Caenorhabditis elegans: one gene and its partners. The protein of the gene in region 4 purifies or fractionates together with the protein of the main gene of each other region. This does not show direct contact. Each region holds a gene or a part of one and is shown on either strand. Other genes may lie near its edges.

What was found.
Region 1: the proteins of pold-1 (region 4) and pro-3 fractionate together in Caenorhabditis elegans (co-fractionation; one large-scale study listed by BioGRID). This does not show direct contact.
Region 2: the proteins of pold-1 (region 4) and top-2 fractionate together in Caenorhabditis elegans (co-fractionation; one large-scale study listed by BioGRID). This does not show direct contact.
Region 3: the proteins of pold-1 (region 4) and crn-1 fractionate together in Caenorhabditis elegans (co-fractionation; one large-scale study listed by BioGRID). This does not show direct contact.

What each region holds. Positions count from the first base shown.
Region 1 is NC_003283.11:19,115,385-19,120,371, reverse strand, and holds the start of pro-3 (Protein SDA1 homolog), read left to right. Parts: upstream 1-1,959; 5' UTR 1,960-1,967; coding exon 1,968-2,156; intron 2,157-2,538; coding exon 2,539-2,745; intron 2,746-4,987. Other genes in the region: bed-1 (BED-type domain-containing protein), read left to right, coding at 633-749; Y39B6A.13 (RsbRD_N domain-containing protein), read left to right, coding at 1,012-1,048, 1,092-1,231, 1,281-1,493, 1,543-1,704, 1,755-1,829. UniProt on the Caenorhabditis elegans protein: Required for 60S pre-ribosomal subunits export to the cytoplasm. Required for normal somatic gonad development and for regulation of germline development and proliferation.
Region 2 is NC_003280.10:11,873,415-11,881,088, reverse strand, and holds top-2 (DNA topoisomerase 2 top-2), read right to left. Parts: upstream 5,942-7,674; 5' UTR 5,933-5,941; coding exon 5,833-5,932; intron 5,786-5,832; coding exon 5,449-5,785; intron 5,396-5,448; coding exon 4,663-5,395; intron 4,630-4,662; exon of another isoform or gene 4,535-4,629; intron 4,534-4,534; exon of another isoform or gene 4,473-4,533; intron 4,459-4,472; exon of another isoform or gene 4,387-4,458; intron 4,318-4,386; coding exon 4,075-4,317; intron 4,025-4,074; coding exon 1,385-4,024; intron 1,337-1,384; coding exon 933-1,336; intron 892-932; coding exon 786-891; 3' UTR 501-785; downstream 1-500. Other genes in the region: npp-3 (Nuclear Pore complex Protein), read left to right, coding at 6,396-6,530, 6,578-6,929, 6,990-7,081, 7,131-7,335, 7,490-7,674. UniProt on the Caenorhabditis elegans protein: Control of topological states of DNA by transient breakage and subsequent rejoining of DNA strands. Topoisomerase II makes double-strand breaks.
Region 3 is NC_003279.8:3,480,069-3,485,018, reverse strand, and holds crn-1 (Flap endonuclease 1), read right to left. Parts: upstream 3,023-4,950; 5' UTR 2,990-3,022; coding exon 2,900-2,989; intron 2,556-2,899; coding exon 1,848-2,555; intron 1,057-1,847; coding exon 905-1,056; intron 853-904; coding exon 654-852; 3' UTR 519-653; downstream 1-518. Other genes in the region: Y47G6A.9 (DNA-directed RNA polymerase III subunit), read right to left, coding at 3,670-3,834, 4,325-4,509, 4,791-4,950. UniProt on the Caenorhabditis elegans protein: Structure-specific nuclease with 5'-flap endonuclease and 5'-3' exonuclease activities involved in DNA replication and repair.
Region 4 is NC_003283.11:12,039,796-12,045,852, forward strand, and holds pold-1 (DNA polymerase delta catalytic subunit), read left to right. Parts: upstream 1-1,760; 5' UTR 1,761-1,814; coding exon 1,815-1,901; intron 1,902-1,981; coding exon 1,982-2,230; intron 2,231-2,275; coding exon 2,276-2,647; intron 2,648-2,690; coding exon 2,691-2,824; intron 2,825-2,871; coding exon 2,872-3,601; intron 3,602-3,646; coding exon 3,647-4,660; intron 4,661-4,706; coding exon 4,707-5,155; intron 5,156-5,200; coding exon 5,201-5,411; 3' UTR 5,412-5,552; downstream 5,553-6,057. Other genes in the region: Protein kup-1, read right to left, coding at 982-1,071; F10C2.5 (alpha-1,2-Mannosidase), read left to right, coding at 5,637-6,057. UniProt on the Caenorhabditis elegans protein: Possesses two enzymatic activities: DNA synthesis (polymerase) and an exonucleolytic activity that degrades single stranded DNA in the 3'- to 5'-direction.

The DNA of each region.
Region 1 (4,987 bases), 7.1 Mb from region 4:
AAGATTTTGGGCGCTGCTAAGACTACAAACTACAAGTTTGGGCGCTGCTAATTCAATTTTGGGCGCTGCTAAGACTACAAACTACAAGTTTGGGCGCTGCTAATTCAATTTTGGGCGCTGCTAAGACTACAAACTACAAGTTTGGGCGCTGCTAATTCAATTTTGGGCGCTGCTAAGACTACAAACTACAAGTTTGGGCGCTGCTAATTCAATTTTGGGCGCTGCTAAGACTACAAACTACAAGATTTTGGGCGCTGCTAATTCAATTTTGGGCGCTGCTTAGACCACAAACTACAAGATTTGGGCGCTGCTAATTCAATTTTGGGCGCTGCCAAGACTACAAACTACAAGATTTTGGGCGCTGCTAATTCAATTTTGGGCGCTGCTAAAACTACAAACTACAAGATTTTGGGCACTGCTAAGACTACAAACTACAAGTTTGGGCGCTGCTAATTCAATTTTGGGCGCTGCTAAGACTACAAACTACAAGATTTTGGGCGCTGCTAATTCAATTTTGGGCGCTGCCAAGACTACAAATTACAAGATTTTGGGCGCTGCTAATTCAATTTTGGGCGCTGCCAAGACTACAAACTACAAGTTTTTGGGCGCTGCTAACCCCATTTTTCTTGCAGGAAGACGCCATGACAACATATTATCGAATGAAATCTAGAAAACTGGAGCTGGAAATCAAAAAATTGGAACGAGAACTCGGCGAGGAGCAAGATGAGGCCCAAGAGCACGAAGAATAACCAATTTTTAATCTATTTTCCACAAAAGTTTATCCCGATTTCTCTTTTATTGATTTTCTGTACAATTTTCTCATCCGAAATAAATCAATTTTTTTTAATATTTCATTGAATTCAGCGGAAAATCAATAAAAAATAGAGTTTCCCGATTAATCTGATTTAAATTCCCACGCAACGACGCTCCGAAATCCCGCCAACGCGCCTTGTTTACCGTAAATCGACACTTCATTTTTCGACGAATTTCTCTGATTTCTCACCTATTTTCATGGATATTGCCCCCATTTTTCGTGAAATTTTCGATCGTAAGTGCTTAAAATGATTGAAAAATTTAATTTTTGATTTTAGAATTCAGTTCTGACAATATATATCGCTCATGGCACAAAATATCCCAGGAAATTCGAAGCGGCGATGAAAAAGAGCGCGTTTTCCGGTTGATTGTGAAGATTTCGATGCAAAAACTTGATACATATGAAGCTGGCAAGGAGGTGAGTGTGAAATTCATCAAAATTTGAAGAAAAACGTCAAAATTTTCAGGTAAATCGTGAAAATCCGCAAATTTCGGCGCAATTTCCCGATTTTCTCTTCAAATTTCTCCACGCTTTCCAATTTCTGCCGTCAGATCAGCAAACCTTTGCGAATTCCATGTTCTTGCTGAAAATAATCGATTTATTCGGTTCGGAATGCCCGAAAATTATAAATTTCTCTGAAATTTCATATATTTCGAGGCTTCTCGAGCTTGCCACTAACGTAAGTGGTGATTTTTTGCCGAAATCTTTAATTTTTGAGCTAATTTCAGGTATTATTAAAGGATTTATTCGAAAACTCGGTGAATTTATACCCAAAAGACGGGAAATTCAGGAAAATCGGCGCCCGGGACCTGCTCGACGGAGTTGTGATGTCAGAAGAGCCGGAAGATGGGAAATATAAAGAAAAATCGTTTTTAAAGATGAAAACGAAGGTTTTAATCGATTTTCTGAAGGAAAAATGAGTAAAAATTCGAATTTTCAGCTAATGGAGCTCGAGCCACGTGGAAATTCGGATTTTGAGCGGAAATATTTGGATTTTGAATCTAAAAATGTGTAAATAGTACTAAAATTTTAATAAAACGGGTTTATTTATTGATTTTATCGTCTTTTTACTGGTTTTCAGCCAGAAATCTTACTTTTTCCACTGTTTTCCTAATTTTTCAACCTTAAACTCCACACATTTTCAGCCAAAAAAATGGGTAAAGTGTCAAAATCACCCGGAAAGGGCGAAAAAAGGATCGGAAAAGTCGGCAAAAAAAATGGAAAAAGCAATGCTCCGACGGAGGGCTCCAATTCTGGAAAAGCTTCACGCTTCACAATGTCCGAAAGGAATTTGGGATTGATGCAAGAAATTATTCGAAAAGATCCGGAATCCTATAAAGAGGTGCGAAATTCGAGAAAAAACGAGAAAATTCGCGAATTTTGGGTTAAAATTGAGTAAAAAACGACGAAAAATTCGATTTTGGGCGCTGCTAAGACTACAAACTACAAGATTTTGGGCGCTGCTAAGACTACAAACTACAAGATTTTGGGCGCTGCTAATTCAATTTTGGGCGCTGCTAAGACTACAAACTACAAGATTTTGGGCGCTGCTAAGACTACAAACTACAAGTTTTTGGGCGCTGCTAACACCAAATTTTGCCAATTTTCTGCTAAAACATCACTTTTTTCAAATAAAAATTAAAAATACATACATTTTTCGACTACAAACTACACTTTTTCATGAAATTTATCGATTTTAGCTCTAATTTATTAATTTTTTGCAGGAATTCCTCGAACAATTCAACTATTTCGTTCAAACAATGAAACTTCTCCACTTGCAACCCGAACAATCTCGTCAAGAAATGCAATCTCTCGTCGATTCGGTGCTTTTTCTGTCCGGATTGGCGAAACATTACCCGAAAGAGTCGAAACAATTCTCCGATAGTCTTTTTGAGCTTTTGAGAGAGCAAGGAGCTGGTTTGGATCCAGAAGTATGTGGAAAACCGAGGAAAAATGCGAAAAATTGATAGAAAGACAGGAATTTTCATCGAAAATGCGCCCTAAATCGATTTTTTCTTCATAGAGTGCTCAATATTTTGGGAAAAATTCGGAATTTCTGCCGAATACTTAGATTTTGGCTCAAAAATTCAGAAAATACTGCGTTTTTTCACTAAAAATTGCGAAATTGTTTCAAATTTCCGAAAAAAGGAAGCAAACATTCAAAAAACCAGAGAAAATTAAAAATTTCTTTATAAATTTCTTTTATTCTGAAAATTTCCAGAAAAATCAATAAATTTTTAGTAGAAATCAATGAAATTTCTGAAAAATCGATAAATTTTCAGAAAAGTCGATACATTTTTAGAAAAATGAATGAAATTCGAGAAAAATCGATAAAATTCCAAAAGAATCGATAAAATTCAAGAAAAATCGATAATTTTACTGAAAAAACGATAAATTTAAATCTATAAAAATCAGGAAAAATCATAAAAATTCGAAAAAATCAATAAATTTTCAGAAAAATCAATAATGTTTCAGAAAATTCGATACATTTCCAGAAAAATCAATAAAATTTTAGAAAAATCAATAAATTCCCAAAAAAATCGATAAATTTTCAGAAAAATCAATAATTTACATTTTTGGAATTTTCCGAAATTTTTTGGCCAAAAATTGAACAATTTCAATGTTTTTCTAATTAAAGATCCAATTTAAAGCGAATTTCCGCATTTACTGTTGGAAAATTTCGATTTTTTCACCGAAAAAGTGCCAAAATACCAGAAAATCCAGTTAAAAATTCAATTTTTTCACCTTAAAGGTGGTGTAGTCGAATTATTTTTATCGCCTTATTAGACTCAAAATTGTCTAAAAACACCGAATTAATGAAACTTCTTGAAAACTTTTTAGAAAAAAGTTATGATGACTCAAAAAATGGTCTAAAATTCGTTAAAATCGGAAATTTGACTTGTCAAGCGGCTGAAAACTATTTTTTTTGAAATTACCGTCAAATTTTGAGTATACAAGTTGATTATCTTGTGTTTTCAACTTGATTAAGGTATTTAAAAGCAGATGGACAGCGAGATTTTCAATTGTTTTAAACAAAAACTCGCCGTCCATCGACTTTTAAATACCTTAATCAAGTTCAAAACGCAAGATAATCAACTTGTGAACTTAAAATTTAACGGTGATTTCAAAAAAAAATAGTTTTGAGCCGCTTGACAAGTCAAATTTCCGATTTTAACGAATTTTAGACCATTTTTTTGAGCTGTCATAACTTTTTTCTAAAAAGTTTTCAAGAAGTTTCATTATGAAATTCGGTGTTTTTAGACAATTTTGAGTCTAATAAGGCAATATATAAAAAATTCGACTACACCACATTTAAAGGTGGACTACGCTCAATGGGAAAATTGCTTTAAAACACGCCTATGGTACCACAATTACCGAATATCATGATAAAAAAAATTCAAGATTTTATATGATTTTTTGAAAATTGGAAAAATCACAGTTTTCACCCAATTATTTTTGAATTTCCCCCCCCCCCCCCCCCAAATTGGATTTGTTCGGCGGAGCGCGCTTGCATTATTTTTATTAATTTATTTTATTTATTCTCATTATTTCACTGATTTTCTTCATTTTTTGTGTTTTTTCCTCGGAAAATGATGGAAAGAAATAGGAAAAATGCGAAATGTTTGTTAAAAGTAATTGAAAATGAGTAAAACTGTGTGTAAATATACTAATTTCGGGCTTGTTGCCGTCGGAACACAGAATATCACGGTTTTACGCATTTTCAATTGCTTTTTAACAAAAACATTTCGCATTTGTCCTATTTATTTCTTCCATTTTCCGAGGAAAAAACATAGAAAATGAAGAAAATCAGTGAAATAATGAGAATAGATAAAATAAATTAATAAAAATAATGCAAGCGCGCTCCGCCGAACAAATCCAATTTGGGGGGGGGGGGGAAATTCAAAAATTATTAGGTGAAAACTGTGATTTTTCCAATTTTCAAAAAATCATATAAAATCTAGAACATTTTTTTGAATTTTTTAATCATGATATTCGCACTGCAACTTTTTCCTCACGAGGGACGAGGAAAAGGGGTTTCTAGGCCATGGCCGAGGGGCCGACAAGTTTCAGCGGCCATTTATCTTGCTTTGTTTTCCGCCTGTTTTCTTTCGTTTTTCACAGTTTTTCCCGTTTTTTCTTATTAAAACTGATAAATAAATATTTTTTGCAGAT
Region 2 (7,674 bases), on a different chromosome or scaffold from region 4:
TCTGAGAATCAACTTATTCAAATTTCGTTCCAGTATTCAGCTGCTCATGCACCATGTGCCACGCTGGATGTGCTCGTTAGTCATAATATCCTCCACAAAGCAAGGACTATGACTAGAGACACATTCAGCTTGGCGCCGAATGCATTTTATTTTTAAATTTTATCTTTAAAAGTTTCCCTAATTTCTACATTTTTCTTCAATATACAATTGATTCTTCTTATCTGACTACCAAATCATCTCGAGTCTCCAGTTCTCCCGGGGAGGCGATTCCATGTGTCTCTCTAAATCTCATTGTTCGCCTGAATGTCTAAAATGTTCGACCTCAAAAACGGTAGAGGCCCAAGGACACGCACACACAGTGTGTGATCGATAGGGGAATAGAAAACAGTAGGAACAAGACGTTGGATGCAACGAAGAAGGACACAGACCGTTTACGACTTGTCATCGTCATTTCTCAAGCGACACAAACGATGAAGACCTGCATATAGGTTGGAAGCTTTGGAAATATAGGCATTTTCATTGCAAGAAGACTCTTCTCAATAATTCTTGAGACTCACATAAATAGAAAAATAACTTTTAAAAACAGTGAAATTAGGTAGGGGTAAATAATTTAGGCATAAGGGCGATAATTATATTACAGCAGTTTCCCTCATGTAAAAATACAAACTTAATATACGGGATGATTTGGGGGAGGATGGGGATGGTTGAGATCGTTAAAACGATTTTAAAATGATTGGAAAGAAAATAAATTAGAAACACTTAAGGAAGGTGGGAAACAAATTAATTTAATCCGAGTCGGAGTCGACGACGCGTCCCCTCTTCTTCTTTGGCTGATCCGAATCGGATCCTGAATCCACGTCGTAAGTTGGTGGCGCCTTGCGAGCTCTTCCGCTGAAATAATTACATTTTTTAAAAATAATTTTCAAACTAACCTCTTCTCTCTTGGAGCCACAACGAAGCTTTCGTCGTCTTCATCATCGGAACCAGCGGCCTTCTTTCCGTTCTTCTTTGAAGCACCAAAGAAATCGGTCACCGCCTTCGACTTGGGCTCGGCCGTCTTCGGAGCAGCCTTCTTTGGAGACGGCTTTTTGCTGGTGGACGGCTTCTTCTCAGCTTCTTCATCACTGTCGCCGCCAGACAGATCGCTGAACTCGCTCTTTTTCTTCTTCGGAGCAGCTTTCTTCGCTGGAGCAGGCTTCTTTGCAGGAACTTCATCATCATCTGACAAATCGATAACTTCCGCTTTCGCAGCTCCTTTTCCAGTACGAGGTTTTGGCTTTGAGACGACATCCTCACGCTCCACACCGTCATCGTCCGAATCGAAATCGATTCCTTCCTGCAAAAAATATTTTAGAAGTTGAAGAAATTACAGAGGAAATCTTACATCGAACTCCACGTCACTTTCCTCTGACATGTCAGAGTTGAAGCCGTCGCTTTTCTCCTTCTTCGCAGTCTTCGGAGCAGCTGGAGACATGAACTTTTTAATGTCCTGGCCTTCCTTTTTCACCTTCTTTGGTTCTTTCGGCTCCTTTGGCTCTTTCTTGACGCGTTCCTTCTTTGGCTGAGACATCTTCTCATATTTGGCCTTGGTTGCAGCATCCAACATCGGCTCAATGCGCTGTCCATCTTTGGATGGAAGGACTTCCGTGCACACATTCTTCTTGGGTCCACGTCCGGTCTTTGCGTCGGCAGCAAGCTTTTTGGCGGCATTTTTGATGCTGGCATCTTGATCAGCTTTCTCGCGAGCCTCCTGTTTGTCCAACTCAGACACGAAGTTGTCCAGATCCTCATGCCAAAGATCTTGCCAGGTCTTCTTCTCGATAACTCGAACCTCAGCCATCTTCTCCTCCGATTCCTTGATGAGCTTATTCTTCTCTTCTTCCGAAAGCTTGATGAGAGCCATTCCGACAAGGTAATCGTAGTCTGATAGCTTGGTTTCAACGGCCTTCGCAGCAGAGGAAATGGCTTCGTCCTCTTCGACGGCGACAGCAGCTAGATCATCTTCGTCCAGCTCGATCTCTCCAGATTCACGAAGCTCTTTGAGTTTTTGCTCCTCCTTCCACTTCTTCACTGGATCAGCATCGAACTTCATCTTGATCAAAACATCGACAATCGCCGCCTTCTTCTTGTTCTCGAGAACAATCTCGTTGTTGATCTTGGCGAGGATGAAACGAGCCTGGTTAGTGAGACGCTTGCTCTGAGCCTGAAGAACTCCGAGAAGGTACTCCTTTCTCTGTACGTACTTCTCTTGGCGACTATCGTAGAACTCTTGAGTAATCGCTTCTGGCGAAGTGTATGTACGAAGACATCCGGCAGCATCGAAAAGTACCATGCACGTAGTGTTGATGACAGCTTGGAGCTTGAAGACTTGATGAAGATCCTGACCGCGCTCCAATTCACGAAGTTTTCCCGGCGAGAGCTTCACGACGAACTTGACAGTTGTATCTGTGTGATACTCTTTGTAGTCGACGATAACAGGCGATTTCTTGTCCGAGCTCTCCATCAATCCTTCCAAAACCTTCTCTTTGTAGTCTTGAGTCCACTGTTTGATTGGCAACTCGGTGATCTCAATGGTGTTGTCATCCAGCACAGCAACTTCACCATAGCATGCAAATCGACTCGGGTCGATTTGAATGATCTTTCCGCGGAAGTTCTTGTACCATGGAGCTAAGGCTTTCTGTGGCTCGCCGGCGATAAGACGCTTGATGTTCTTGACCAGTTCACGTGGATTGTAATTAGGAATGTTCGTGGACCATCCAGTACCGATGCCTTGAGCTCCATTGACGAGTACCATTGGAATAATCGGGCAATACCATTCTGGCTCAATACGCTGATTTTCTTCATAAAGGAAACGAAGGACATTGTCATCGTGAGCCGGGAAGAGTGTACGAGTGACTGGCGACAGTTGAGTGAAGATGTAACGAGCTGAAGCACTGTCCTTTCCACCTTGGAGACGAGTACCAAACTGTCCGATTGGAAGAAGCAGGTTGATGTTGTTGGAGCCAACGTAATCTTGAGCGAGATTCACAATTGTTCCCATAAGCGACTGTTCTCCGTGATGGTAAGCAGAAATTTCAGCGACAGCTCCAGCCAATTGAGCTACTTTGACTTCACGCTTGTCTGCTCTCTTGAAGCACGCGAAGAGAACCTTCCGCTGTCCTGGCTTGAAACCATCCACAAGGCATGGAATTGAACGCTCGTTGTCGAGATTCGAGAAGAGGACCAATTCACGATTGACGAAATCTTTGAAGGTGACGAATCGAGTGTCCTTGTTGTAGAGATATTCTTCAGCAAGTCCCTGCTGCTTTCGGTCCTTCTTCTCCCGCATCCACTTCGAGAGCCAGTCTTTTCTCTCTTCAATCTTCTTCTTCGAGAAAGCCATGTCGACAGCGTTATCATCATCAGCTCCATTGTACTTGAAGCGGATACGATGACGAACCATGTCCAAGAAGTATTCCTTAGCTTCCTTAGAAGTCGATGTACCCAATCCCTTGTAGTACTTGATCTTGTACGACTTCCAGTTATCCGTATTCATTCTCCACTCAGAATATTCTGGGAGCGAATAGAAGGAAACTTCTTCTTTTCCTTTGGTGGCTTTGACAATTGGAGTGATGAATTCTTCTACGAAGTTCCGCTGAATGAGAGAAGGCCAGAAGTGATGGATGAAATTGATCACGAGTCCTTTGATGTGTGAACCGTCTTGATCCTGATCAGCCATGACCATCAGTTTACCGTATCGAAGAGTCTTGAAGTCATCTTCTGTCTCGTACTTCTTCTTGTATTGGAGTCCCAGAATTTTGATCATGGCATTGACCTCAGCATTATCGGCGATTTGTTTCATATTTCCTTCTCGGACATTTAGCAATTTTCCTCGAAGTGGGAATACTCCATATTTGTCGCGTCCAACGACTGAAAGTCCCGAAACAGCAAGCGTTTTGGCCGAGTCTCCCTCCGTCAGAATTAATGTGCATTGTTGGGAATTTTTGGTTCCAGCGTCGTTGGCATCTTCAAGCTTTGGAATGCCCTGAAATAAATATTAATTAAAACAAGGCCACGAATTAGATGAATTGTTACCTTCAGCTTGGAAGTCTTCGTCTTGGAGCACTTTTTGTTGAGGTCGTCCATTTGTTTGAAGCGAACCCAACTCATAACAGCATCGGTGATTCCAACACTTGAAGCCGCTTTGGAGAACTTCTCGCTGAGGACGCAGGTCGATCCGAACTGCTTCTGCTGCAGGGTCATAGTCTCTTTCGTCTGGGAGTCGAATGTCGGATTTTCGATCAAGCAATTCACAAAAACCCACATGTGATTTTTGATCTGAAAATTTTGATATAAAATTGAATATTTGGAAAATTTATTAGATTTGAATTCGCATTAGCAATTCCTCGCCTCAGATTCGCCTTTTAGTAATCACAAATCATCGGAAAGTTTAAAAATGTTGCGCCGCGCCTTTAGACACTGGATAAAAACTTTCTCCAGCGTCACTAAAGCGTCGCAATTTTATTTTTCACTTGGTGCACCGATACTTCAAAAGAATCGGTGAAATCTCTAGAAAAACCTTGAAAATTTTCAGATTTCTCTTATTATCGAGTCACCAAAGAGTTCATATAGCTATTTTGAGTCATCATTGGCGGTAAATATTTTAAATTCGACGAAATTTACCTGGAATGGCTTGATATTCATCGACGTCTTTGTGAGCTTCCGCTTGATCGAGTCGATGAACTTGGCGACCATCTGATCAGCCACGTAGTCCACGTGCCGTCCTCCTTTTGTGGTAGCAATACTGTTGACAAATGACACTTGTTGGAAGCCTTTTTCCGAAAGAGCCAAGGCGACTTGCCAACGATCTCCAACTTGCTCGTATGCGATCTTGAGGGGTTCTCCTTCATTGTTGAACTGCGAAGTGTACATTTGGACGTAGTCCTCGAATCCTTTGATTGGAATTCGTTTTCCATTGAGGAACACGGCGACTCCTTTACTGGATCCAGCCACATCATACGCACGCCGAGCCATCAAATGGCAGATGTCATCGTCCAGCTCCTTCATCTTGAACTTTGCCAGATCCGGCGAGAATGTGATCTTCGTGAAGTCTTCGTCGGTGCTCTTAACAATCTTCGGCTCCTCATCACGCGTCATGTTTTTGATCCACGTTTGCTTGAATGCACTTTTGTAATCCCGTGAAGACGTCTCCAGAGTGAATTTTGTGGAGAAGATGTTGCAAAGCTTTGCTCCATATCCGTTGCGTCCTCCCGTCACTTTCTTCTCATCGTCATTGTAGTTAGAAGATGTTAGAAGAGTTCCAAAAATCAGCTCTGGGACGTAGACTTTCTCCACTTTGTGCTGAGTGACTGGGATTCCTTTGCCATTGTTGTAGACAGAGATCTCATTTTTCTCCCTGAAAGAAAGCAAAATTAAATTAAATTCCTTTATGCTACGGTCTAAACTTACTTATTGATGGTGATCTTGATTGTGTTCATCTTCGGATCTCTCTGTTTGTTGTCAGCGGCATTCACAAGAATTTCATCATAAATCTTGTAGAGTCCCGGCACGTATGAGATGTCACGCTGCTCCAGCTTGCTCTCCTCCATGTTGTAGACCCACATCGGCGTCTTCTCGGTATGCTCGACCGAACCGATGTAGGTGTCCGGGCGAAGAAGAATGTGCTCGAGTTGGGACTTCTTTTGGTAGATATCCTCGATCGCCATTTGTTTCGAGCCACCACCTTTTTTGTCGATCGACGTGAACACATTGCGGTCCTCTTCAGTCATAACCATCGACTCGTTGGCTGAAAAGAAGCAAATTAGATTCAAGAAACTCTACAAATTAACCAACCATCATCTTTCTTTTTCTTCGGTGACGCCTTCTCCTTCTTTGGTGCGGTTTTCTTCTTGGGTGAATCTTCGATAGAGAATTCACTATCAGAGTCGCTCATTGTTAGAGATCTGGAAAAAGATGACATTTAATTTTAGGACGATCGGGAGAAAGAGAGAAAGAAACGCGGTGAATATTCAATAAACTTGAGGATGCGAAGAAAAATGAGTGAAGAGAAAAAGAACTAGCACACCAGTGGACATCACTGGACACTGAACACTGAATCGATGCAAGACAGCCGGCTAGAGAGCGCACAAAAAAACAACTGAGCGCGCCAAAATGAGCGTCCGATTCGAAATTGGCGGCCTAAGAGCGTCGGGTCTCGCAGCGAACGCGCGAAAAATACACAGCTGAAACGAGTGTTACCGTAGTTGTAGCCTCGAAATACGAAATTTAGTTTTTGTGTCTGCGTCTCTTACGGAAATGCATTGCGAGATAGAAGTTGTGTAATTTTTTTGCGAAAAAATTCAAAAAAAGTAACTTTTTGTTCTAAATAATGTTTTATTTATTTTAGAGAGCTCAAAATGTGGATTGAGATTCGTAAATTTTACGAACTCATCGTCTCCTTCACAGCTTTCGATGACGACCGAAAAATAAACGAGCTGTTCAACGAAATCGAGAAATACAGATGGCGATTGAGCAATATTCTTTTGAATCCGGTATGTTTTCCGACTGATGTTAGTGTAATAAACCTTTCTAATTGAAGAGACGAACGGGTAAAGATCGGGAAAAGCTGAAGCCAGGAAATGTGGAAATGGCAGGAGTGGAAGTTGCGCTAGACGAGGAAATCTGTTCGGAAGCACTCATTTTGTCGGATATCTTTCAATTAAATGAGCTGGAAGCTGTGGATTTGATTTTGGCCGGAGAAGCTCAAAAAATACATTTCGAAGGCCTCAACAGAGGATTAATCGCTGTCGTTTGCTACTATGATGCGCACAGGCTCCTAATCGCAACAATGCGCCAAATGCTAAAATGGGACCGAGAGGATATTCCTCAACGTATCAGCAAGTTCCTCAATAGCACATTCATCAACGAGGACGTGATCAAAAACCTTTTTCGTGGGTTTTCAAAAAATTATATTATCATAAATATTACTAATTTTTTTTTCCAATTTTCAGAACAACTAATCAATTTCACCGTTCAATCAGAATTTGCACGACTTCAATCTCCAGATGTCAACGGTTTAGGAGGCTCTAAACATCAGAAATTGGTACCGAATTGATTATAATTTTGGAATTCTTTCATAAAATTAATTTCAGGTCAGAAATGCCATTGAGGAGATTCGAAGTGAAGTAATTGGTTGCATTTCGATGATCTGTGAGATTCCGGGAGGAAACGCAGTTTCGATTTCAAATCATTTATTCCAAATTGTAAAGGCAGTTCCACCGGAGAAGCTCAGTTGTAGTAGCTTGACAGCCTGGATTTCTCTCGTTAAAATCACATCGAGTGAAGTGTTGTCTCAAGGTAATATTTGAAGATGGAGTAGCGATTTTTCTGTTTTTCTTTTGTGGTTTTTCTGTATTCGAGAATATTTTCGATTTTCTAAAGCAATTCTCGCTACTCCATCTTCATGCCTATACCCAAAAATCCAGTTACAAATCTGTTTGAGAGTTTACAGTTCACGATGCTCAACAAGTGCTCACAAACATGATCGCCCACATTCGGAATGAAACAGACTGGTCGGATCAAGCAATGTGCGGAACTCTACAGCTAGCATGCGCTGTTGCTCTGAAATCGATTGCCTCATCGCCATCAGATCATCTAGGGATCGAGAATATCAAGGTGGACGTGGAAAGAGTCATC
Region 3 (4,950 bases), on a different chromosome or scaffold from region 4:
CATATTTGACGCGCAAAATATCTCGTAGCGAAAACTACAGTAATTCTTTTAAAGACTACTGTACGGTTTGTGTCGATTTACGCGCTCGATTTTCGGAATGTTTTATAATTTCTTTTTGAATATCGATAGCGATTTATAATTTTCCTCCGTTTCTTGTATTATTTCGTCATTTTTCGCTAAATTTTAATATTCAATCCATAAATAATAATTTTACTAATTCATGCCAAGAATCGAGATCCCGTAAATCGACACAGTGCTACAGTAATCATTTAAAGAATTACTGTAGTTTTCGCTACGAGACATTTTGCGCGTCAGATGTGTTGTGCAATACGCATTCTCAGAATTTAGTGTTCCCGTAATAGTATGCATCAGAGGTAAGCCGCAAAATTTTTTTCCGGCAAATCGTCAAATTCCCGGAATTGAAAAATTCAAATTTCCCAAATTGGTCAGTCTTATAAAAAACCCTGAAAACTTCCAGCAAATGGGTGTTGGGCAAATCGGCAAATTGACGGAATTGAAAATTTCCAAATTTTTTATTGTTTTCTTAGCTTTGTGTGTTCCATTAAAAAAAGGATAAAGGTAAATAAAAACCTTATTTCGTTTCAATCAATATTTCACAAAAATCAAATAAGAAATTGAATAGTTAGTGTGAGCTACTTGGCTCTCTTCTTCGGTGGTCCACCCTTCTTTGCTCCCTTCTTCGCCTTCTCAGCTTCCTCCGCCTTTCGTTTTGTCGCAGCTGTCACACATGTAACCTTGGTCGAGTTTCCGAAGAACGAGTCAATTCGTCCTTGTGTTCCAGATTTACGGCTAGTCTTCAGTTTTGCCAACGCGTTTCGGATGCGCTCCTCACTGGAAATGAAAGAAAAATTAGATGAAGTTCATGAGGTTCATGGGGACAAACTTGAAGTTCTTCTCTCCGCACAAGAACTGAATGACACCTTCGACATCGGCTTCCTTCCATGTCAGTTCAACTTCTTCCGGTTTTGTCACTTCTGGATTGAGGAAAAGCTCACGAGCACGCTTGTATGGCCAATCCTCTGGTGGTGGGTATTTCTGGAATTTTTTTTAGAAATTAGATATATTATAGATCCGCAGAAAAATCCAATTTGAAATCGATGTGTTAACGCGCTCCACTGCTAATTCAAAAGGCTCCGCTTTCGAGCCAAAAGTGTTGTTTAAAAAATTCCGATTTTTCGGTTTTTTTCTAGAAGGAAAGTGAAATTTTTCGATTTTTTTTAAGAGAAAAAAGAAAATTTTCCATTTTTCGGTTTTTTCTAGTAGGAAATTGAAATTTTTCGATTTTTTTAGACAAAACTGAAAATTTCCGCTTTTTTTTGTCAGTTTTTTCACAAAAAACATTGAAAACTTTCGATTTATTTTTTTTCAATTTTTCGAGTTTTTTTCAGAGAAAAAATCGAAAAACGAACAAATTCATAATTTTTTCAATAATAAATCTTTAGGAGAAACAATATAGCTTTTTTTAAAGTTTGATGAGAAAAATAAAATAATTTTTCTCCAATAAATTGAAAAATGACAGGAAAATATTGGAAATTCGATTTTTTTTTTCTCGAAAAATTACGCTTGCACGCATAATGGGCCTCGTTAGCTATTTGGCGGCAAAACCGTAAGTTCAAAATTTGCTAATTTTTTATTGAATTTTTCGGCTTTTTTAGTTGTTTCCATTGATTTTCATGCCAAAATTAATTTAAAAAAAAAGGCAAAACTAAGTGAAAAATTCGAATTTATGATTTCACCGGCAAGTACCTAACGAGACCCATGGTTCGGGGCATTTATTTGCCGTGGAGCGCGTTTATAATAAAATAGGCATTTTACGAACGACGAACATTTTGATCGATATTCTCAAGAATCGTCTCAATATTCTTGTGCTGTCTGATCAGCTCAACAGCCTTCTTAGGCCCGACGCCTCGAATAGTTCCACAATAGTCACAGCCGAGAAGAATACACAAATCAATAAATTCCTCAACGCTTAGCTTCATTTCTTCGAGAGCCAAAGAAAGATTGAACTCCTTGATCGGGATTTTCTTGGCGACTGGAGCCAGGAAATGTCTGAGAAGAACCGTGGAGCCGAAGGTCAGCGCGTCCATATCCTCAGTGACAGTTCCGAATACTTTTCCAGCTTTCACGAGATGAGCACACTGAGCTTCTGCCTCGCATGGAGCCTCGACAACTGGAATTCCCATTAATCCCAGCAAACGCTTCGCCTCGTCGTTCTGTTGTTTTGTGACTTTTACGAGTCTTCTCTCGAACTTCTCCGCTTCCTTAACATCTCCCTTCTCCTTGGCCTCAGTCAGCGCTTTTTCTGCTTCAGCACGACGCTCGGAACGTTTTTCAAGCTCTCCACCCTTCATATCCGGTGGTTTTCCGTCGAAAACGTAGACAGGCTTCACTCCGTTCTCGAACATTCGAACCGTACGATTCAGCATTCCCATCAAGTGACTTGTGGTTTCTCCATCTTCACTTTGAAGCTGGGAACCATCTTGACGAACAGCAATGAGGAATTGGTAGAGGCACATTGATGCGTCGATTGCTACCTGAAAAAAAAACATTTTTTTTTGTTTTTTTGCTTGTAAAGACTCAAAACTCGTCGAAATTTAAGACATTTACCCGGAAATTTCTTCAAAATGTTCAAAATTATGTAAAAATGAGCCAATTTTAGAGCTGAAAATCTTCAAATTTTTCTGATTTATCGCGTCGAACCGATAAATCATTAATCAACAAAATAGCAGGAGATAAACGACTAAAATATTTTAAAATATGAAAATCAGACTGCGGCGCACAGAAAAGTAGACGAAATTGGAGATTTTCGCTTTAAAAAATTATTTTTTCGAATTTTTGAACCTTCAATTTTGCAAATCTAAGGAAAAAATTCCCGTACTGTTCTTCCGAAGAACGCCTTCATCTCGTTGACTTTAATCGCGGAGGGAGCATTATCAGCAATCACTTGGGAGAGTCCTTTAATTCCCATAGCGGTGTGGGGTTAGTCCTTGTGAATTTATATCTGAAATATTCTGAAATTGGGAAGTTTGTGGATTTTTGAGTGGAAAACGGGGGTAGGAAACGAATTACAGCGAATTTCGAAAAAAAAACACGATTTTCCTTTTTGTTCTCCAATTAAATAGGGTTTTTTAGGTTTTACCGAACGATATCAGTCAAATTCATGAAATTTCACCGAATTTATACGGATTTCGCCGCACTTTCCTGACGTAAAAAACGAAAAACCCCCGATATTCTCCAAGATTTCGAGAAAATAAGATGAGTATGAGATTGCGAAACGATAAATTAACAATTCTAATATATTTTTCGTTTAAAATTGATTAAAAACAATAAAATATTTGCTTAAAATTGTGTTTCTCACTATAAAAAACCCCAAGAAAGGATAAAAAATATCGGAGCTGCGTTCAATTTGGCGGGAAAACGGTGCGTTCAATTAGTTGTCCATGGAGCGCGATTGCGTAATCATTATTTGGACACTTTTTTCCTTGAAAAAACCGATTTTCTGAACCAATTGGTTAAATCTGAAGCTAATAACGAATAAAAGGGTTAAATTTAAGGGAAAATCAATAAATAAATTCATATATTTAACAATGATATTCAAAAATTGAGAGAAAAACAACAAAAACAACAAAAAAAGTGTCCGGAGATTCTTTAAATATCATCGGCATCCAAATTATCATCGCTACCGCCGTCCCCATATCCTTCTCCATTATCAAAGTAAGCCGAGATGTAATCGTTATCCTCCTCCTGATTGTCATCATCTGATAATGGATTCTCCTCCTCTTCTGCCGCGGATTTTTCACTGCCAGAGTCTTTCTGAAATTAAGATATGATTTTTTTCCAATTATTTTCATTAAAATGTAGTGATTTATCTGAAAATAGCTCCTATTTTAGTTGAAACAATTGAAAAACCACTCAAAAATCGTCTGAAAATTAGAAATTTCCAACTTTCGAACATTTTTTGAGCAGTTTTCCAAATGTTTCAACTAAAATTAAATTTTATTTTCAGAAATAAAGGGACGAGAAAACTCTAGATTCATCAAAAGATATGCCAATTTTGATGAGAAAATATTTTTTTTTTGCAATTCATGAGGAATAACCCGAAATTATTGAAAATTTGATTATTTTTCTCGAAAAAACGAAAAATTTCGATTTTTAGTTTTCTCGTCATTTTCCGTGCATTTCTTCTACTTATTTACTTCGATTTTTCTGAAAATTATTTTTCGATTTTTTCTGAAAAAAAAGTGCTAAAAAATGCCCTGTCCCATATAAAATGTCAAAAATCTGAAATTAAAATATCTATTACATCATTATCAGCCTTCTCATCGTCATCATCATCATCCTTATTCTGTGCTTCTTTTTCTTCCAATTTTTTCAACTTCTCCTTGATCATCGAATCGTCATTGGCGACTTTTCGTCGTTTTGCCAAAGATTCCTTGGATTTCGAGCTAGCTCGGCGCCAAATGAGCTCATTCGGCATATGGGACATATCTAAAATGGATTTTATGAATTTGAAAAGGTTAAAAAATCGCCTTAAATTCAGAAAAAGCGCTACAGAAAATAGAAAAATTCAATCTTTTTTTGGCTAATTTCCTCGAACTCTCCGACCAATCAGCATCTTCCAACTCCGCCCATTCCATCTGATTGGTTGAAAAATGGGCGGAGCAAATCGCTGATTGGCCGCTCTTCTCATTTAGCCAAAAAGTTGAATTTTCAAATTTTTTTTTTGTTTTTTCTGAAATTGAGACACAATTTCACCTAGATTTCCGTACCAATGCTAAGCTTTTCCCTCTTAATATTCGAATATTTATCCAAATAACGCTTAATTTCGTCGTCTTTCTCTGCTTCAATAAAGAACTGTGAATCACGCATTCGTTGATCAAGTTCAACTTTTAAACGGGATACGTAGAGCATGTCAGTCGTCATTTCAAG
Region 4 (6,057 bases):
TCCACCACCGCAGACGGTATTGAATTGGAGGGGAGCAACACAAGGACACACGATGAATGGCCTGACGAAGAGGGGCACAATAGGGGCTCTCCTTCTCCGTCGCCGCCGCCGCAGTCGACAGTCTTTCTCTGTTTCTTTCCTGTCTTTTCCATCACTTTCCTCCGGACGTCGTCATCGTTGTCCCGGTCACTACCTTAACCACCAGGCTGTTTGTGTTCAATTACCTGCGGGCGTTTTGTGTATGTTCGCGTCTGTATGTGAGAGATGAGGATGAAAAAGACAGAAAGAGAGAGAGACTAAGAACACGCTGTAATTACACAGCAACCTCATCCTCTGGATAATACTGACCGCCAGTGTGTCGTGTCAACAAGTCGGCTTAAATTATGAAGTAATTAGTCGCTCGTTCGTGGGTTATAGAATGGACTGTCCAGAATGAATTGACACGACATACTTTTTAATAATTCTTTACAGATGAAGGAGAATTCAGTGGCCGATCCTACATTTCTTCCACGTGTTACAAAATGTCATTTTAGAACGCTCACTCTCACAGAAATAAAGCAAATTCACTTTCTAGACAAAGCGAGTCAAACGGCAACTTTCATCTTGAAGTCAGGTCCACACAAGTACAAAACTTCAGCCAAGCTATGGAAGTTTTAAAGTTTAAACCCTGGAATTTCACTAGATTGTAACCAGAACTATACTTTGCAGAGATCACTGGAAGAAAAAGCTTGAACTATTTAAATTTTTATGCGATATTTTCAAAATGAAGAATTGCGTCATTAAACTTGACTCCAGCAAAACGATCAAAAGTTTCCCAATTCAAACAAACAAAACGCTCTCGAAAAAAACGAGCCGATCATCTTGCATCTTCCTCTTTGTAGTCAAATTTGAATTCGCAATTTCTCACTTTGATAATATCGAAATATTTATAAAAATTTCAGACGTAATATTTTAAACAGATTTATCTTGAAAACTACTCACCTTCGGTAGTTGAAGCTCGCTGTCACTCAGATCTTCTCTAACGTCGCCGTGTATTGAGTGATCCGATCCATAATCGAGCTCGTCGTCCATGTCTCTGCTGAAATAAATAAAATTTAGATACATTTAAACTGTTATGCACAATGAAGACAAGGGAGAAAAGTTCAACAATGAATAAATATATTTTTCAATGATCGAAAAGAGTTTGAAGAAGGCGTTCAATATATCTCGCAACAATAACTATTTTAAACGAGTAGAAAATGTTCAAAGGACGGTAAATATGCTTTTCGCGCAATAAAACTCGAGAGCTGAAAGCAAAAAGTCGAGATTGAACAAAATAAGGTAATACAAATTTATCATAGCGCATTAGCTTGATTTTTCGAAAAAAAAAACATATAAAAGAATGCGAGGAAATAGTGGCCAGGTTTTTCTCAGTGAAAAACGCTTCCAAACAAAACCGTAAAATCGATTGGCCCAAAAAACAGATTTCAAACAGCGCGGTAGAAATGTTTTTGCAGTGGAGCGCACATTCGCTACCCAAAATGCGCGGCAAAACAAAGCGAAAAGATTTGGAAATAAAAAAAATTGACTTTCAATTCTTATTTTATTGTTTTATTTATTGATTATCACAATCTAAACGGATTTTCGATGTTATGAAACTTTAAATTCCCACCTAATCGCCTTAATTCTCTCCCTATTAAATCTTTAAACGTTTGTTCAGACAAAAAAACGATTCGCGGCGTTTCGTTTGAGCACGTTTACATTACTATTTTGACAAACAATTTCTTTCTACTTTCATAGTTTATTTATTGTTCTAATGCTGAGTTTTATCAGAAATGACCTCCAAGCGTCCTGGCGGGAGCTCGTTTCAACCAGAAGTGAAGCGAAAGCGTGAAAGTGACGAATTCGAGCAGTGTTACGTTGTAAGTTTTTCATATTATGATTTCAAGCTTTTAAAAATTGCATTTTTTATTTTTAATGATCACTAACCATTTATTTTCAGTCAAGATTCGAAAATGAACTTCCATCTGTACCAACGATTGATAAAACAGGATGGGCCAGGCCAGCAGTCGATAAAGATCTCGGAATTAGCAAAAGCATTGCGTGTCAGATCTTAGAGGTCGAAACGTATCATGAAGACGGCTCTGCAACATCTTACGACAGAACAAATGTGAAGTTGTATGGTGTAACCAAATCTGGAAATTCGATTTGTGTCATTGTGACTGACTACTTTCCACATTTTTATTTCCAGGTAATCTAAGCTTTAAAAAATAAGTATTGGTAATATTTCTTACAGGCACCACAAGGATTCGGTGTCGAGCACATTGGAACTGCACAATCTGCAATTTGCAATATGGTTGCTGCAGCAAAACGCCGAGGTGGTAGCGGTCAAGCTCAATTGCCTGGAAAAGTAGTTGATAATCTTGTTCATGTGGAGATAGTTCACGGAGAGAATCTTTATTACTTCCGCGGTGCTGATACGAAAGTTCCTTTTGTCAAGGTGTCAGGATCTACAGAAGCTCTTCACAAAGCGCGAATGGAATTGAAAAATGGAGTTAACTTGATGGGAAAGGGTCCTGTGAACGTTGGGAATTTATACGAGTCAAATATTAATGTGATTGTCATGTTCTTGGCGAAAACGAATATTGTTGGATGTGGCTGGATTGAGGTTTTGACAATATTAGTTTTTTTTTAATTCTTTATGATTTCAGATTCCTGCTGGAAAGTGCCGAATTCTTTCAAACAGTGAAAAGTCGTCTCGTTGTCAAATAGAAGTCACAGTTCCGGTCAAAAACCTGATTGTTCATGAAAGTGATGGTGAATGGGCTGGAATTGCTCCTATTCGGTAAGTTTGAAAGTTTGAACTTACTTTTGAAAAAATAACTTTTTTAGTACTTTGTCTCTGGATATCGAATGTATTGGTCGACGTGGAGTGTTTCCCGAAGCAATTAAAGATCCTATTATTCAAATAGCTAATCTTGTGAAAATCGAAGGTGAAGCAGAACCATTTGTTCGTAATTGTTTCGTTCTTGGAACATGTGCACCGGTCGTCGGTTCAAATATCATTCAATGTGTGAATGAAAAAGTTCTTCTCGAAAAGTGGGCTGAATTTGTTCGTGAAGTGGATCCCGACATTATCACTGGATATAACATTCTCAATTTTGATCTTCCATACATTCTGGATCGTGCTAAAGTTCTATCACTGCCACAAGTTTCTCATCTTGGTCGTCAGAAAGAAAAAGGCTCAGTTGTAAGAGATGCTGCAATATCATCGAAACAGATGGGAAGTCGAGTGAACAAGAGTATCGATATTCACGGAAGAATTATTTTTGATGTACTTCAAGTTGTACTTCGGGATTACAAACTCCGAAGTTATACACTCAATAGTGTCTCATATCAATTTTTATCCGAACAAAAAGAAGATGTGGAACATAATATTATTCCTGATTTACAACGAGGAGATGAACAAACTAGGAGGCGATTGGCTCAATATTGTTTGAAAGACGCATATCTTCCTCTTCGTCTGCTTGATAAATTAATGTCAATTATTAATTACATCGAAATGGCTAGAGTCACCGGAGTTCCTATGAATTTCTTACTGACAAAAGGTCAACAAATCAAGGTAAATCAAAATATATTTTAAATTATAATACTGAAATTGTTGTAGATTCTATCAATGATGCTACGAAGATGTAAGCAGAACAATTTCTTCTTACCGGTAATTGAAGCCAATTCTGGGGATGGTGAAGGATACGAAGGTGCTACTGTCATTGATCCGATTCGAGGATTTTACAATGAACCAATTGCAACACTTGATTTCGCTTCTCTATATCCATCCATTATGATTGCTCATAATCTCTGTTACACGACACTTTTAAAATCCCCACAAGGAGTTGAGAATGAGGATTATATTCGGACACCATCTGGCCAATATTTTGCAACCAAATCTAAGCGCCGTGGGCTTCTTCCCGAGATTCTCGAGGATATTCTGGCTGCAAGAAAACGAGCGAAGAACGATATGAAAAACGAGAAAGACGAGTTCAAAAGAATGGTTTACAATGGACGACAATTGGCGCTTAAAATCTCTGCAAATTCTGTTTATGGTTTCACTGGTGCAACTGTTGGAAAGTTGCCATGTCTCGAGATTTCTCAATCAGTTACAGCTTTCGGAAGAAAAATGATTGACATGACGAAACTCGAAGTGGAGAGAATTTACAAAAAAGGAGCTCTCGATGGAAAATGTCCAGCAGATGCGAAAGTTATTTATGGCGATACAGATTCTGTAATGGTGAAATTCGGTGTCGAAACTGTAGCTCAAGCAATGGAAATTGGACTCGATGCTGCTAAAGAAGTCAGCAAGATTTTCACTCCGCCGATCAAACTTGAATTCGAGAAAGTTTACTCCCCATATTTACTTATTAACAAAAAGAGATACGCTGGCCTTTACTTCACTAAACCGGATGTTCATGACAAGATGGATTGTAAAGGATTAGAAACTGTTCGCCGTGATAACTGCCCTCTGGTTGCAAAAGTTCTCGGTGTTTGCCTCGAGAAATTACTAATAGAAAGAGATCAACAATCTGCTTTGGATTTTGCGAAACGGACAATTAGTGACTTGCTCTGCAATAAAATTGATATCTCATTGTTGATTATCAGTAAGGAATTAACAAAGTCTGGAGATGTAAGTTCGATTTCAAAACCTTACGAAACTAATTGATTATGTTCAGAAATATCAAGCAAAGCAAGCTCACGTTGAGTTGGCGGCTCGTATGAAGAAAAGAGACGCTGGAAGTGCACCAAGACTTGGAGATAGAGTTCCATATGTTTTTGTCGCTGCTGCAAAAAATGTTCCGGCATACGAACGAGCTGAAGATCCAACTTTTGTACTTCAAAATAACATTCCATTGGACACCAAACACTACTTGACTAATCAACTCGCCAAACCACTTGCCAGAATTTTCGAGCCCATCTTGGGTGATAGAGCAGAAAAGATTCTGGTGGAAGGAGAACATACAAGAGTTCGTACAGTCGTTCAGAGTAAAGTTGGAGGTCTTGCAGCGTTCACAACGAAATCTGCAACTTGTCTTGGTTGCAAGAGTGTTTTACCAAGAGCAGAATCAGAGAACGCAGTTTGCAAACACTGTGAGCCGAAGCTTCCAACGATTTTTGCTTCTAGGTAATTAGAAATGCAATAATTGTTCTACTATATTTTTCATTTCAGAATGAACACTATGCACGAACTTGAAAACCATTTTGGTCGCCTCTGGACCGAATGCCAAAATTGTGCAAAGACTATGCAAGACAAAGTGAATTGCTCGGCTCGAGACTGTCCGATCTACTATATGAGGGAAAAAGTTCGAAACGAGCTATCGGAGGCAAGTGCCGTCATCGAACGATTTGGAGATCCTTGCTTCCAGGCACCTACTAAATGAATTAATTATGATCCCGGTTTATTTGTCTAATTATTATTGACTGTGAATGATCTTACCACACTATTCATCTCATCACACATTTTTCTTTATTACTGGTTATCTTATAAACTCGCGTTGATGATTAAAACATATGTTTTTAATTCTTTAAACTTTTTTGTAAGCGATAATCGCTTAAAATACTTGTCTGATATATTAAATTTGAATTTAAAATACCACAATTTTCAGATGATCACTCGAAAAGCAATATTCTTTTTAGCATTAGCGTCAATTATTCAAGCATCAGATGATTCCGAAGCTCCCGATAATAAAAAGTCTTCAATAAGATTCACTCCATCAGTTATTGATTCTTATAGAGAAAAAGTTCAAAAAATGTTCTACCACGCCTACAACGGATATTTGGATCATGCATTTCCACTAGATGAACTGAAACCAATAACATGCGTTGGACAAGACACCTGGGGATCATTCTCTCTTTCATTAATTGATGCTCTAGATACTCTTCTGGTGATGGGAAATACAACCGAATTCCGAAGAGCAGTGTCACTTGTTCTTGAGAAAGCTCGTGATGATGCTAATGTGAATGTTTCTGTTTTCGAGACGAATATCAGAGTTGTTGGCGGATTAATATCTGCACATATGCTAGCGG